Mytilus edulis: one gene and its partner. The protein of the gene in region 1 interacts with the protein of each later gene in a biochemical or structural test. Links are inferred from orthologs where the notes say so. Each region holds a gene or a part of one and is shown in the gene's direction. Other genes may lie near its edges. The genes, in order: elongation factor-like GTPase 1 and ribosome maturation protein SBDS-like.

Region 1 (3,938 bases):
TCACCATCTGTTCTGGGTTATTTAAAACTTTGTTACACACAAATATTGTTTGTAAATGCAAATACATGTTTAAAGATGAACGCAGTTGTCTGAGGAGATGACGCCCGTATGCATGAGAATTTGTGAACAAAAATTGTATGCATGATACAATCAAAAATAAAACAAAAAGATAATTCATCTTTCAAATAGTTCTCAGACAGAGTAAATTCTGACAACAAAATGACTGCACATTTATTAAAACTTCAGAATGAAGTTTTTTGTTTGTATTTAACGATATATTTTAAGACAAAGGTCCATTTTTGCCCGACTGACGATGTGAACTTTTGTCATCACTTTGTTTCCTTCATCGGTAAACTCTTCTTCAAAAATATTTTCGTCTGAAATTTCACAACGCGGATTGAAACCAAGGTTAAGCTGCTTCATCTTTATGATATCAGATATAAACTGTCTGATTTGCATCCAAATTATATTGAACAACTGATGGCCACTCTGGAAAACGCATACATCTAAGTGTTTTGGTTTTATGTCTTGTATATTTTAGAACATAGCGAAAATCCCTAACTGGGTAGGAATTTTCATCAAGACAAGTATTATGTACCTTGAACATTGAAAAAAAAATGTGTAGACCCATTTTGAGAAATTGCTTGATTTAGTTTTCTGAACTTTTTTGCAGTTCTTTAATTGCTACATCGGTATCTCGAAAGATATAGTAGCTAGTTTAAAAGTGTGAATTGCGAATTGCGAAAATCACCAGTTAAACAGGCTCTTTTTACCAGTACAATCATCGAAAGAAAAGGATCACCATAATCCGTTAAACTATAATTATCTTGAACATTATAGGAGTAAGATTAATGGTATACATTGCAAACATTCTCAGCATAACTTTTTACATATTTAATACCAATGAAATATCGATTTTAACTGTGTTTTAGTTTTGCATTTTTGTGTGAACGTTTCAAACTCTCGAATCTATAACAGAAAAGTTAAAGGTGTACAATAAAGGCAACAGTAGTATATCGGAATTCAAAATTCATAAATTGATTGAGAGAAAACAAATCCGCGTTACAAACTAAAACCACTCATATGGCAATGTTAAAAAAATTAACTACGTGACATAAAGCACAAACACACGTAAGAACACTCATTACAGAAACAGAAAACAGTCTCAATGTTATAAAATAACATAATAGTCGACACAACATGCAAACCGCAGAACAACCAATGCAAAATCTTCTATCAACGCCAGACACCACATGACGTCATAAACAGTAACGTAACGAACATGCAATCTCGAACTTTATACAACTATTTTCACAAAACCATTTCGAACAATTTTCATCACAGGGATCGTATTTTTTTGTTATACTAGTAGTTATTTAGACTAAAAACGATAAGAAATAACGCATTATCCAACGGGTAAAGATGAACATAACAAAAAATCAGTGTGTGCAATTTTAGGTAAGACTTTCATTTTGTTTTCACCATATGAGCATATTGTTTTAATCCACGTTTGATTCGTATAGACAACCAGCAAGTTGCACAATGAACTGAACAAATGCATTTGGACCAATTGTTTTTAAAAACACAGTAATTTTAATTTGCGCCTATTTAAAAGGAGACACCAAAGGAAATGTCTTAAAATAAGCTGTTTCCGTCTAAGAAATCTGGTAGAGTTTCCCCTGTGTAAGTCAGTGAGTACATACTCATTTCTCATACGAAACTGAAAGTAACATAAAGACATAACTCATCTCATGATTTAGTGGTCTCAACGGGGTTTTTTTTTCGGATACAATCAGCGACATTCAACTGCTATGGTATGTATTTAGTTGGTATTAAGACTAATAGCATGCGCGTATGTTCGTCTCAAAGTTTTTATGGGTGTTGGCGTTTGTTTTTGTTGCACTTCGGTGATCCTGTTGTTCCTTTGTTTTCCTCTTATAGTTGGTGGGTTTCTCTCGGGTTTTTTTTCGTAGTTCATTCCTATTGTATCAATTTCTAAGATACTATAATCAATGGGTCAGCCACATAACATATAAAATGATTATGATTTGTTCATGGCTGGCAAGAAAGTTTCATTTGACCTTGAATTTGTTTTCTCTGATCACCGATGTGTAAAATGATGTCTGTAGTGCGACATTTGCCATAAAGAAACTTCATCATCATCAGTTAAGAAATCGGTACAATCTTTGTAGAATGTTATCCAATGTACATTCAATTCTCTAACCTCCAATATTGATCACACCATATGAGGATTTTAGTCATACATTTTTCGAAAAAAATATAGTAAAAATAAAAACTCTGAGGAAAATTCTAAACGGAAAGTCCCTACTCAAATGGCAAAGTTCACATATATAGTTTGGTATCCAGCACATAGATACAAAATAACTTTTTTTTACTTGTGTGCAATTTGTAATTATCATGTATGGCCTTTTCATATAGGTTAATATGCTTGGTTTTTTTATTGTGTGTGTAGTGGACAACTAGTAACTAGAATCCAAGCAGTCATCAATGTCATGAATTATATCAGCTGAAACTGAGACCCATCTATAAGGTTTTTCTGAGTTCATTGCTCAATGCAATGGCAAAAGGTAAACTTTATTGAGTATGCATAATGATTTTAAGGCCCATGTACATGTTGGTTTGCCACAATTCGCTGAAATTGACCTAATGTGCATTGTAGGTTTGTTCAAAGAAAGGTTTCATCATAATGTCCATTTCTCAGATACTATTATTAGTAGGCTAGCAATGTTTCTGACATGGTTCATTTGACCTTGATGGCTTGACCTCCATTGATCAACGGTTTTTTTATAATTGTGTAGGGTTTAGTTCATTTAATATAAGCAAAAGGTTAGCTATATTAAGTATTGCAATATCTTCTGAATTGTTGACATCTCTCTTCAGCTCTTGATTCTCTGAAACCCTGAACAAATTGAATGAGTACATGTCTGTTTGACAAGGTTCATCTGATTATGGCCATGGTTTCATAGTCCATTGGTCATCCTATTGTTAATAGTATATGAGAAACAGACCAAGCTATAGAAAGTAAACACTGCCCAATAAACTGCTGATGAATTGATATCCTTGTCTTGTGGTGCAGATGAGACAACAATTACTAGCAACTAGGATCAACTAGGCAGAGCTAAGGTCTAGATGTAAATGTCACTGACTTTCTGCATTAGTTATCCCACATAAATGGGTTCAAGCAGCTGTTTAAAGGGTGATTATTCTAAAAATATAATTTCAAAATGGGAGTTTCCTACAATATACAGATGTTCTATGTAAAAACTAGAAAGTTCATTGATCTTAAAGGAACAAAAACAGCAGTGCATTTTTTTAAGAGTTTAATATCTACATATGATATATATACTGACATTTTATTTGTAAAGGATCATAAAATCAATAGGTTGTAAAAATACATAGGTGTTAATTAAAATTAATCTAGACAGATTGTTAATAAAAAAAATATACAAATGCTTTATCTTGTAAAATTATCACAAAAATAATATATAAATATTATCTAAAAATAATATAGCGAATGACTTAGAAAAAGCAGCTTGTATGTAAAAAAATGCAGCAATAATCATTTTGAAATTCAGGAATGTTTTTGTAATAATCTTAAAATATATCACTATCTCGAATTGATGTCATCTTTTTTGCTAAATGCAACAACTTGAACATGAGGAATGTTTATAAGATCAACAAACCACAAAAATAAACTTTTTCACAGCAGAACTTAGCAGGTGAAGATGTGGTATTAAATGCATCATGTTAAATGACTTATTAAACTCTTTTTGTTTCTTAAAAAAAAACTTATAATGAAAAGATATCATAGCACTTAAATACTTATGAGCTTAAATGAAATTGGTGATACTTTAAAATTCTAACATTTTATACTCATAGAAAATTTTATATTCTTTAATTTTCAATTCAAGTTATCA
Region 2 (3,938 bases), on another chromosome or scaffold:
AAGCACCCTTAACATGCAAAACATGTTTAATGAGGGTTAATGTACAAATGATGTAGTATTGGGGATACCTTTATAACTATAAATCGGTTAACATTCTTGCAAATTATTGATTACAGTACTAGTTATTGTTTGTGCATGACGATAAAATGACACTCTCTTTAAAATTAAAAAAACAACAAATTTTGACAAATCATGTTATTTTTTTGAAGAATAAACGTAACATCAATTATTTGAGACCTCTGAAGAATCACGATAAGGACATTTTGACGAATCATAGTTCAATTTTAACCATTTTAACACTTAATAGGACTGTTATCGCCTGATGGTAATGGGCATTCTTACCCTCTTCAGACTTCAAATCAAAATATTCTTATTCTAATGACTGAACAAATGTGTGTTATAATTGTTTTAAAAATGTTAAATGATTTTGAGCATGCATGCCAGTTCACCCGCACTTGTTTCCAGTCATTGGTTAAGGCTCCCTCCTTCTATCTTCTCATGAAACAAGTGCCTGTGAAATATACAAGTGTAGTGACTGTAAACTGTACCTAAAAATAATTTATACCTGTATCAACTCATGAATAGATACTGGAGGTGTATTGTTGTTGTTGTTTGTCATTGTCAATCCACCATTATCGAAAAAATATAAACAAGATCCTTAACGAAATATGTGTTACATGTATCTCCTACATAGTTACATCTTTATCCTCAGCAACTTTTAATCCCTGATTCATCAACTGTCAATCATTTTCATTTGCGCACCTGCAGAGGAACTCTTTTGCGTTGAAATCACAAACGGTACAAAAAACAATAACTTCCGGTATTGCTGACAAGCATGTAAATGCTCATATTTGGCAATTTTTGGAAAAAGTTTAGTTCTTCGACGTGTCTTGACAGTTGCAATTAAAATCTTTGATCAGTCAAATTTCTAGATTGGAGAATGGCTGTTTTTCAGCCGACAGGACAGAAAAGATTGACCAATGTTGCAGTGGTGCGGATGAAAAAGGGAGGAAAAAGATTTGAAATAGCATGTTATCCAAACAAAGTATTGTCATGGAGAAATAAAGTGTAAGGCTTAATTTTGAATAGTCATTTGATAGAAATCTGTGATTGATTTTAATTACTTATAAAAAATTACAACCCCCCCCCCCCCCTTTTTATACTTCAGCTACCCATCCATGTCCAGTGCTCAATATTTAAACATGAATCCATGATAACTTTCCCAACTATCAAAAGCCCCAGTCCAATTTGCCCAAAATTTTTACCAGCTCGCCCCTCTTTCTAATAACCATACTAACTCGCCCCTCTCTCATGAAGAACTATAGTCCGAGATTATTTTGGGTGGGCAAATATCCACTTTTTCATATGGGACGAGCCCTGACGTCCCACGGCCCCAGCTTGTCTGGCAAAACAGCGGTTGGACGTCAGAGTAATCTCGGACTAATGAAGAACATGTACAAACCAATTCGCCCCACGTATGAATGTAGTAATGCCCTTTGACGAGGGTCTAATTGGGGTCTAAGAGTGACGTGGGATTACTGAATTTTTGTAAGCATGACATGGGAAAGTCAAATTATTGTGCCGTGAAAAAAAGTCTAGTGGGATATGGGAAATCACAAAACAAATAAAAATTTCTTACGTACATACTGTAGTGTAAGCGGGATATGGAAATCTTACAAAACAGTAAGCGGGATCAGGGATCAGAACCCCCCAATGAGACCCACTTTGATGTCAGGCGTCAAATGATCATTATCGGCTACTGTTCAGTCAGGGGACTTACTGAAATAAGTAGCAAATTCGAGGTTTTGTCACAAATTGGGATTTTGTAGTTTTTTCAAAATTTTAAACATATAGGTTTAAATAACATCTTTTAATTAGTAAAATTAAAAAATATGAACTTTTTGCTTCTTTTAAGTAGCAAGGTTTATGCCTTTGATGCTATCATTTACCTGAAAATTCTATTTTAGTTAAAAAATGCTATAATAATGGCTTTACATAATGAACTGATACTTTCTTAAAAGATTTTTCACAGCAGTGGGAGTATTTTTCCTGTGAAGTTCAAGGTTTCATCTTTCAGATTATGTAATAAAATTCTACTGTTCGCGATAAAAATTTCACTGTTCGGGGGTGTTGAAATTAGTGGGGAATATTAAAAGAATGATACTTAAAGAAGTGATTTTTGGGAAGGAAATTGAAGTCTGCTACTTAAACAAGTGATTTTTATGTCATTATCCTAGATTCAGTACAAGGTCATCACCTGAAATGACCTGGTCATCCTAGACAACACAGATGTTGGTTCTGATAAGTTTAGAAACATATTAAATTAGCCCCTGGATCATTAGTATTCTATATTTAAAGCAACACTAATATTAAATCACTTCTTCTAGTGATTAATTTGTACTACTTTTAAAAATAGGTGATTATTAAAGAAAGACAACTCTAACTTCCAACCTTTATGGAAATAATGTTACTTGAATCAGTGATTTAGAAAATCACTTGTTTAAGTAAGTCCCCTGACTGCTGTTTGCGTCATATATTGGTTAAAATTTTATTGTGATTAGTCAAAATATTTTTATCATGATTCATCAGAGGTCTCAAATATTGATATAAATATTGTTACTGTCATTTTTGGTGGATTTTTTATTGTTTATAAGAAAGTGTACATTTACATGAGCATGATGAGGCATAAAAAATTAACATGATTAACGTTAACGTTCTTCAGTGAAATTTTTTACTGTAATCAACCTGAAGGTACATTGTACCTCCATCATTTTTTGTCCATGAATACCCTCACTTATGAAATATAGTTAAACTCCAATTATTTTAGGCCTACACAAATGTATCAGCTGGCCCCAATACTGAAAAGTAGTTGAATTCTGATGAATGAACATGATGAAGGTCTGCCAACTGGCCCCATTTGAAAATATCTATATGCATCTCAAGTATATAAACATGGCTTGTATAAGTATTACCCCTAACTGTCAGATGTGGTTGTAATTCACACATGGCAATGCATATTTTTTTTGCCTACTTAGAAATATGCAATTAAAAATAATAAATATATCATCACCAAAATATATATATACATAATACATATATTTCAATTTCAGTGAAACAGACATTGATGAAGTTTTACAGACCCATACAGTGTTCACTAATGTTTCTAAAGGAGAAGTTGCTAAGTCTGATATACTGAAGAAAGCTTTCAGTAATGATAACCAACCAGAAATATGCCTACAGGTACTTATTGTAGATATAGCCAATTTCCAATACACCTTTCTTATTAACCTTCATCAGAAATGCTTAAACAAAAAAAAAACATAATATTTAAAAGCAGAGACTAAACAGGAATTATTTGTACCTCTTAGACATTATGTTATGCTCTAGGTCATTTGTAGGTCAAAAGTTATAGTAAGTTCAAATTGTTATGAACATGTATACTTAATTTCAAAAGATGTGACCATGACTGCATTGTAAACTATCTTTAACCAAAACTTGACCTTTCAATGCAATGAACTAATACATCATTATTACATTTCTTGTTTGGTGAACTGCAAAATTTAGAAAAATCCCTGATTTTTCTTTTGCTGAAATAATGTGCTACCTCAAATAAGCTTCAAATTATAAACACTGAAATACAATTGGAATGACATATTTGGAATACATTTGTAGTTTGGACATGGGGAATATATATGACAAAGAGACAACAACCTGACAAAAGCGCAGAAAACAGCTAAAGGCCACCAATGGGTTTTTAAGCAGTGAGAAAATCCCTCACCCAGAGCTGGGTTTCAGCAGTCCCAAAATAAAAATGTGAACTAGTTCAGTGAAAAAAAAGGATGTCATATTAAAATTCCACAACATGTAAATGAACTAAAATAAAAAAAATCACAAATGATTAAGACCAGAGGCTCCTGACTTGGACCAGATGCAAAAAT

The links.
Region 2: the proteins of elongation factor-like GTPase 1 (region 1) and ribosome maturation protein SBDS-like interact in a biophysical measurement, tested with the Homo sapiens proteins (2 studies listed by BioGRID and IntAct, with this or other methods). The link is inferred for Mytilus edulis from reciprocal best matches to the Homo sapiens genes EFL1 and SBDS.

The regions. Positions count from the first base shown.
Region 1 is NC_092347.1:10,356,402-10,360,339, forward strand, and holds the start of elongation factor-like GTPase 1, read left to right. Parts: upstream 1-1,509; 5' UTR 1,510-1,814; intron 1,815-3,324; exon of another isoform or gene 3,325-3,938. UniProt on the Homo sapiens protein: GTPase involved in the biogenesis of the 60S ribosomal subunit and translational activation of ribosomes.
Region 2 is NC_092349.1:35,117,564-35,121,501, forward strand, and holds the start of ribosome maturation protein SBDS-like, read left to right. Parts: upstream 1-792; 5' UTR 793-940; coding exon 941-1,068; intron 1,069-3,110; coding exon 3,111-3,240; intron 3,241-3,938. Other genes in the region: clathrin heavy chain 1-like, read right to left, coding at 566-619. UniProt on the Homo sapiens protein: Required for the assembly of mature ribosomes and ribosome biogenesis.